Regions from separate parts of the Mus musculus genome. Here region 2 is reported to be linked to region 1. The links are microRNA targets in miRTarBase. Many come from high-throughput screens and were not tested one by one. Region 1 holds a microRNA gene; the other region holds the end of a gene's coding sequence.

Region 1 (4,227 bases):
TGTTGCCTTCACTCTCTGTCTGGACCTGGCTGCTGTCTGTGGGCTGACAGGGAGCTCCACAAGGCAGGCCCTCCCTCATCGGCTCAGGTTCAGCCCTGCCATGTCCAGAGACAGGAACATTTGGCACCTTAGAGAATCAGGGACTCCAAGATCTGTATCTTAGCCTGTCCTTGGTGCAGCTGAAACTGGAACCCAGTTGTCCTCTCTTGTGGAAAAGCCCTCTCCTCCGCCCCCCACCAGCACCTACCATCAGCCAACCAGCAGGATTAGCCACCACTGTGAACCCTGTCCTGAGCCAGGCTTCATTCTGCCAGGAGAGAGCCCCTAAGTCAGGCAGCAGGCACATTCCATAAAAGCAGACTGCAGCTCAGTGCCAAGGGTGGGTCTATTGTGCTGGGAGGGATGTTCCTCATGGAGGAACGAACTGCACAGGCAGAGTCCCAGAAGCTACAATAATGTGTTCACTCCTACTACCAGGAAGGTCTGAGGCCTGCCTTGCTGGTTTAATGGGATTGGAGACCTGGTGATAGATTGTCTGGAAGTGAAAACAAATAACAACAAACAAATAAACAACAACAACAGCCGCAGCAACATTAAAAGAAAAACAAAAAACAACCCAGGTCTTGTCTCAGCACACATCTAGGCACATGTATTTGTATGTATGTATACATATATGTGTATATATATATACATATATATACATACACACCTGCTCATTCAGTCACGTTCATGCATGCAACATGTATGAATTTTGAGAAAGACAGAGAAGACCTGCCTGACCATTTCAAGTTAAATAGACAGAAGCCAGGACAGGGTGAAGTGGGTGAGGGACACCTGAGCCTGCCTAACCTGCTTCCTCACCCACAGTTTTCCAAAGACGTCTTGGTGAACATCTATTCGGCCTATATTGATAACTTCCTCAATGCAAAGGATGCTGTGCGTGTAGCTAAGGAGGCCAGGCCAGCCTTTCTCAAGTTCTTGGAGGTATGTGGACTGGGGTAGGGGTGAAGCTAACATGTCAGGCTAGCTCTGGGCATCCCAGGAGCTCTTGACCAAAAACATTGTGGTGCTTGCAAGTGTGTCAGCCTCTGCCTTTGGGCTCACCTGGAGGGACTTGGCTAGGAGCGTGTCTCTTCCTGCCGTGTCAGTCCTCATGTGAGAACTCCCTCCACTCTGCCTTCGGTTTCAGCAAAGCATGCGTGAGAACAAGGAAAAGCAGGCGCTGTCCGACCTCATGATCAAGCCTGTGCAGAGAATCCCACGCTATGAGCTTCTGGTGAAGGTAACCACGGGCCTGGCTGGACAGGGAGGCCCTGGGGGTCGGGGGGAGGAGTATGTCTGTTCTCAGACTCCAGGCAGGAAAGAAAGTCCTCCTTGATGCCTATACCATGGTCTCTCATGCTCCAGCAGTCAGTTCAATACCTCAGGGCAGCTAAACAGGTCTCCATTCCCGCCCCAGGACCTTCTGAAGCACACACCGGAAGACCATCCAGACCACCCACTGCTGCTCGATGCTCAGCGCAACATCAAGCAGGTGGCTGAGCGCATCAACAAGGGTGTGCGGAGCGCTGAGGAGGCCGAGCGGCATGCCCGCGTGCTTCAGGAGATCGAAGCCCACATCGAGGGCATGGAGGATGTACGTGCCCCACCCTGCCGTGCCCCAACTTGTCCCTGTCTGTGTCTTCATCTGTCACCCGGATTGTGGCCATCCACGTCCAGGTCTGTGGTCAGCTTGCTTCTGTGACCACAGTGCCCCACCCTTCTGTGTCCTCCTCCTCCTCCTCCTCTGTCTGACCTTGTGTCCCTGTCTGGCAGCCCAGTGATGCAAGCGAGGACAGGATGTCGCTCTGGCTGACCTCGTTCATAGAGTGGTCAACCGATCACTGCAGGGTTAATAGACTAATAACTAGTTCTCTCCTACCCACCAGCTCCAGGCCCCCCTGCGGCGGTTCCTGAGGCAGGAGATGGTTATTGAAGTGGTAAGGGTTCTCCCATTGGCTGTTCCCCCAAGTACCTTCAACCCACCCAAGTTCACTCTCTGGCGCCTGCTGCCCTCTGGTTCCTGCTCCCCAAGCACCACACAATGGGAGCCCTGCATGAATCCCGATTCCACATAAGTGGGGGAGAGCCCTCACCCCTCCCTTGGATTTGCTGTTCCTGGGGAACTAGGGTAATGTAGGTCGGCCTCTAGACTGTGCACACTGAGCCTGAATGCCACTTTGGACCCTACAGAAGGCAATTGGAGGCAAGAAGGACCGATCCCTCTTCCTGTTCACAGACCTCATTGTCTGTACCACCCTGAAACGAAAGTCGGGCTCGCTGAGGCGCAGCTCCATGAGCCTGTGAGTGGCCAGGGTGGGGCTGGGTGGTGCAGGCAGGAGAGCCATTGATCTATTGTGGGCTCTACTCCCTGCCCCAGCCAGAGCACCCCATTGGCTACCCACAGGTACACAGCAGCCAGCGTCATTGATACAGCCAGCAAATACAAGATGCTGTGGAAGCTGCCACTGGAAGACACAGACATCATCAAGGGTGAGGCTGGCTGAGTCTGTCAGGGGTTCTGCTGGTGGCTTTCCCCTGAGTCTGCCTGCCTGTCTGTTGGTTTGTCTGCTCTTGTGACTCATCTTTCATCCCATATGAGAGATTGGTTTTGAAGAACCGGGTTAGTTTCCATGCAAATCATCCTCTTAGTGCCCTAGCAAGTTCTCCAAGAGTTGGCCGTTCTGTGCCCTGTGACTCTAAACCAGACCTCTCCTCCCGGGCCTGTTTTTTTTTTCTGAGAGCTACCTGTTGACCTTGTTTCTGAGAGCTTGGGTCTGGAAGTGCTCCCATTTGCCAGACCAATCCCGTGCTCAGCTGAAGGCTGTGCGCTAAGGGAAGTGTGTCTGTCCAAGCTTGACCTTGTTTGATGTGTTCATGGCTTTCCTCTGTCCTCGCCAGGGGCGTCTCAAGCCACCAATCGGGAGACCATCCAAAAAGCCATCAGCCGCCTGGATGAGGACCTGGCCACCCTGGGCCAAATGAGCAAGCTCTCCGAGAGCCTCGGCTTCCCCCACCAGGTCTGTGCCCTGAGCTAAGGCAGTGTTGGCTGGGACTTCCCCTGACCTTGCCTGAGGGACAGACAGTCTTGGCTTTTGCCTGAGGGAGCAGTTGGTCCTGTCACTTATCTGAAGGGGAAAATTATAGTCTTGCTCCCACTTAAGGGAAGTGACAGGTCCGGGGTCTGAGGGAGGAGACCTCTGAGGGGGAGAAAGGCCCATCCCTGTCTGTGGCAGGAGGAGGCTGCCTTCCACGGTCCCCTCGGTGCAGGTGCCCATGTGGTGACACCTTGGCCTGAGGCCTGGGTTCTTTTCCCACAGAGTCTAGACGATGCACTGAGGGATCTCTCGGCCGCCATGCACCGGGACCTGTCAGAAAAGCAGGCGCTATGCTGCTCCCTGGCCTTCCCGCCCACCAAGCTGGAGCTGTGCGCCACCCGGCCCGAGGGCACCGACTCCTACATCTTTGAGTTTCCCCACCCGGATGCCCGCCTGGGCTTTGAGCAGGCCTTTGATGAGGCCAAGAGGAAGCTGGGTGAGCCAGAGTTCATGTTGGTGTCTTCTCTCACAGTCCCTGTGCAGTCCTGACTGTAGAAGCCAGGACTCTCTGAACTGCCCTCCTGTCCTCCAGCGGCCGATAGGGAAGGTGGCCTGAGACTTCCACAGTGAAGCAGCAGGCTGGACATTTGCTCTGGCTCCCAGCTTCTTCCTGGGGGGGAAGGAACTCCTGGACAGAGTCGTTTGGGGACAGGGACCCCAGCATACGCCTGAACCACCAAGACCTTCCTCTTCCTCAGTATAGACTCAGCTAAGTCCTGGAAAGTTATTATTAAGTCTACAGCTTAGAGATCCAGGGCTACTCATTGTACAGAAAGGAAAACTGAGGCCAGACACAAACGGAGTAATCCATGACCTCTCATTCTAGCTGAGCTGGTACCCGGCCCTCCCTAGGGAGACTGGAATGGGGAGGGACCAGAGCCACTGTAAGGTGGGTGCTAAGCAGGGGTTCTCTCCTTTTGCCCTGTCTCCTCTACTACAGCATCCAGTAAAAGCTGTCTAGACCCTGAGTTCCTGAAGGCCATCCCTATCATGAAGACTCGCAGTGGCATGCAGGTGTGTGTGTGCGTGTGGGCCATGTAGACACGTGTCTACTCAAAGCTACATACATGTGTATGAGGTTTTGTGCTGT
Region 2 (4,000 bases), not on the chromosome of region 1:
CATGCTGGAACTTAGCTGCCCATTCCTGTAGCTGAGATGGCTGTTTTGAGGCTTCCACTCTATGTTAACACATATCAGTGCTGAGCAGTACAGTGGCTGAGGTTAGTGACTGGGAATCCCCCACTGTCTAATCCCTAGCATTGAAATCAGTGCCTTTTGGGCCACTTGTCTCCAAGTGTTTGAGGGTTGGTTCTATATTTCCTTTGAACGTGTAAAGAAATAGAGATGAGCCCACGAAATGATGCTTTTTCTTCTTTTTCTTTCTCCTGTTTTGTATAATTTAGGAAGTTCATCAAGAACGGATCGCATTGGAAAACCAATTGGAACAACTTCGCCCAGTCACAGTGTTGTGACATCCTAGAGGCTTGAGTGACAGCAGGTGACCTTGTCTGCCAAGATCTTCCTTTTGAGTGTTTAAGCCCAACTACTTGTCATATATGTCTGAATGTCAAAAGCTGTCAGCAGCACAACACAATCTATATGACTTTCTCTTTTGCACTTCACTTGTGTATTTTACAGTGGTAGTAAAATATGTCTTCAACTGATCATTGCACTTAAAATATTAATACTTCGGAGGATAAAGCAGAAGGGTCATAAGCTCAAGGCCATTTTTAGAAGCTTGTTGGGACACTGTCTCCAATAGAAAGTGAAAAGAGAAGTGTGTGTATAGCTCAGTGGTAGAGTGCTTGCCTGATATACAGGAAGCCTCAGTTTAATCCTAAATCCCATTTCAAAAATATACTTATCATTGGAATTTATCTCCCATTTTAACCACTTTTAGATACTGCTCCTTATTTAAGTTACCCTTTTAGCAGATAATTCGGAGCATTATTTATTTAAAGAATTTATAATTCTACAGTACCTATTAATGCTGTACTTCCAGGATGCTCATGCCCATTTTATTCTTATATGTATGCTACATACAGTATGTTGGTTTCCCGAATAGTGTGCATTCCAGCTGGATAGTCTTAGGCATGATGATAATAAAATCAAAAGCTGGAATACAATTAAAGCATCAGATTTACACTGGCACTGTGCCCTCTACCACTATATGCCAAAAACTGCTTCTGTAGTACCATTTTGATATTATGTCAGTTATACATAATATCTGACTATTGTTTTCTATTAAATATCAGAACCTTACTGGGTCTTTACACCTCTGTGAAGTAGAGAATTTTGGCAATGAACTGTTTAACTTGGCCAATCTAGGCCATCAACCTAGATAACTTAGTCCTTTTCATGTAAATTTTTGTGCAAGCACAATCTACTTTAACTGCCTTGCCTGACCAAATTAAATAAATAGTTGCCAGATCTCTGCTTTTATCCTGCATGGGATAACATCTTTGTAAATGTATAAGCTTGGAAACCACCCAACAAATATTAGTAGCTGGATAGCTACCTATTTGTTGTTGAATCCGGGTATCCAGGCTGAGAAGGGAAGAAAAATAGCCACTAACTCTGCAACAATCCTTGGCTGTTGTCATTGTTGTCTTTATTTTAGGCTGGATTTCAGATGTGTTGCTTCTGAAGACACAATGAAAGAATGCAATCTTCCCACCAGCTACATGACTACTTGTTCTCTGTGAAGTGTACTCTTGGGAAGTATTAACTTTATATACAGTTCAGGGGATCTCAGCTAACTCTAGTGGAAGTGATACAAAGCAAGCTTAAATTACAGAAGCAACTATCCTGTCGAAATGTCGTAATACAGTCCAGCTGAAAGTAGGAAATGACTGACCTGTAGGGTTATAGGGTCCCTGAATCACTGATCTTCAACAGGGCATTTTAATATTAGCATTAGTGTGCACAGGGTACTTTTGAAATGGTTTTGGATAGATTTACAATATGTAAGATTAAGCTGTTGATTTCAATAGAGCTGAGAGCTTTTAGTAAAAATAGGCATTTATTTAATATTTCCCTGTTCCTTTGGCAAGCTTTATCAGTAGCTTAACAACAGAAGAGAAGAGTTCAAACAGATGATGTTTTTTCCAAAGAAAAACAAATTGTTGACTCTCTTCCATGCATATTTTAAGGATTTGAATCTGATTTGATTTGGAAAGTCATGAAACTTGAACAGTTTCTGCATTTCTTTTTTCCTTTGGCTGCCTTTTGTTTGTTTGTTTGTTTGTTGTTCTTGTGGGGAGGGCTCAGGAATGATTTAACCCCCCCTAAGATTATGGTTGGGTCAGTACAGATTCCAGGTGACTTCCTTTTTCCATGTGCCGGGATGGGAGGGCTGTGTTATGATTACAGCATGTTTGGCATTTTGTACATTCAATAGAGGAAAGACTAACATATGCACTTTATCTCAAGATCTTCCAGTGCATATACACTCACGTGGGAGAGCACTTCATATCCACCAAGCAGACATAACCTAAGGAATGTTAGTCCACTGAGCAGTTAAAAAACACTGACATATTGCTTCCCTCATGAAGTAAACGATACAGGGAACTGGTTGAAGAGATTGGAATTTTATTTAGTTGGCTTTGTTTTCCTTAAAGGATAAAACTTGCATTGGACAATCAAGGACAATGAAGCCTCACCAATATATTTCTTGTGGTGCTGGGATCAAACCCAGGACAGCATTCATCCTAGGCAAATGCTGGACCATACCCTCAGCCCATCACCAATATTTTAACTGAGGCATTGCATTAAACCACACACCACACACACACACACACACACACACACACACACACACACACACACACACACACAGTATTTTTAGCTGGACTTTTGATCAGTTGAGTAGTTGCTTATACATAGATTCTTAAAAGAAAATACTTGTGTTTCTATTAAATATACACTACTAAATACATGTTATGTGACTAGTATTTATCCTTTACTTCTGTGTTTTCTTAGGATGTACACTTTTAGAGTTATAGTGCCTGATAATATTTTTTGAGAGCCTTTAATATGATATAGGAAGGCAGATACATTGATATCACTTGTAGAACTACTTTGGAATTTATCTCCATTTTCCACAAAAAGAAGCTTCTTTGATGAAGGAGGAGAGATGAAGAGTTGCTTGTTTTGCAGAATTCTATAGCATGAAGGTTAACCTTGTCTCCATTCATGGGGGTTTAATTGCCCTATTGCTCAATGGTGTTCTTGCATGGGGATTCTCCAGTCCTACAGATGAAAGCAAAGTAGGAAATGATCATGGGCTTATTGGGGCTTTTAGCATCTCTAGTAAGTAGCATACAGCTTTGGCTGGCTTTCTATCCACAAACCTAAAGCAGAGCTTGAATGATAAATAGCAAGAATGGATGTGTAATGTGACAATCAAGGCAGATATTTGTTCTAGTTGGAAAGACGAAGCACTTTATAAGCATCAGACAAGTGTTTGGGACTAATTGAGAAACAAGCCAGCTTAGATGGAAGCTGTGCTGTGTGACTATTAGAACTAGGCAGGACCAGTGCTCCTCTTTTATAGCTAGCATGGGAAAATCCCATCCCTAATAATTGTGGACTCTTGGCCCAGGAATCCACAATAATAGCTAGTGGTAGAATTGGGATGTAGCCTGATTATATAGATTCCAAGGTAGTCCTCTGTCTATCCTAAAAGTAGATTAGAAAGCCTTTTTTATTTATCATGTTGAATTTTATTGACTTAATTGGTCTGTAGATATGAAAGCATCTTCTAAGGAGTTTTAGATTTAGATATTTCTCTCCGCTTTAAAAAAAAATAAAATTTGAGTGGAAATAATGTTATTAAACCATTCTTCTAATGCTTCACTTTTGATGATGCAGTATGTTCCTTTAAATCTTGGCAGAACTTTCTAAAGCTACTGCTTTCAATAGATTCCAGCCGCATATTCCCATGGGCATATTCCCATGCTTTCTCAAATAGACTACTGTGATAAAAATGAACTCAATATGTAGTAGCTTATACTTTTCTCCAGTATATTGTTGGTCACTCACAAATGATTCATTTGAACACATTTTAGGGATAAGTAATCAAAACCATGAACTTTTATTTGACTTCCCACCAATGTCT

Evidence for each region. The annotated mature microRNA mmu-miR-3102-5p reads GUGAGUGGCCAGGGUGGGGCUG and lies in region 1 at 2,343-2,364, shown strand. An mRNA with a match to its seed (bases 2 to 7 or 8) in the 3' UTR can be bound and repressed. Matches are read on the target gene's strand: a 7mer-m8 pairs with bases 2 to 8, a 7mer-A1 pairs with bases 2 to 7 and ends in A, and an 8mer does both.
Region 2: miRTarBase lists Reps2 as a target of mmu-miR-3102-5p. The part of its 3' UTR that is shown has no 7-base or 8-base seed match.

Annotation. Positions count from the first base shown.
Region 1 is chr7:100,880,525-100,884,751 of GRCm38, reverse strand. It overlaps Mir3102 (microRNA 3102), which reads left to right and starts at 2,343; the gene lies at 2,343-2,446. It overlaps Arhgef17 (Rho guanine nucleotide exchange factor (GEF) 17), which reads left to right. Exons shown (of 21, transcript NM_001081116.1): 4 at 868-984; 5 at 1,190-1,282; 6 at 1,460-1,636; 7 at 1,929-1,979; 8 at 2,233-2,342; 9 at 2,447-2,532; 10 at 2,941-3,059; 11 at 3,360-3,573; 12 at 4,078-4,151.
Region 2 is chrX:162,413,896-162,417,895 of GRCm38, reverse strand. Reps2 (RALBP1 associated Eps domain containing protein 2) reads left to right here. Exons shown (of 18, transcript NM_178256.4): 18 at 285-4,000. The coding sequence ends at 353. Among named protein-coding and RNA genes, the nearest start is that of Reps2, 230 kb to the left of the region's middle.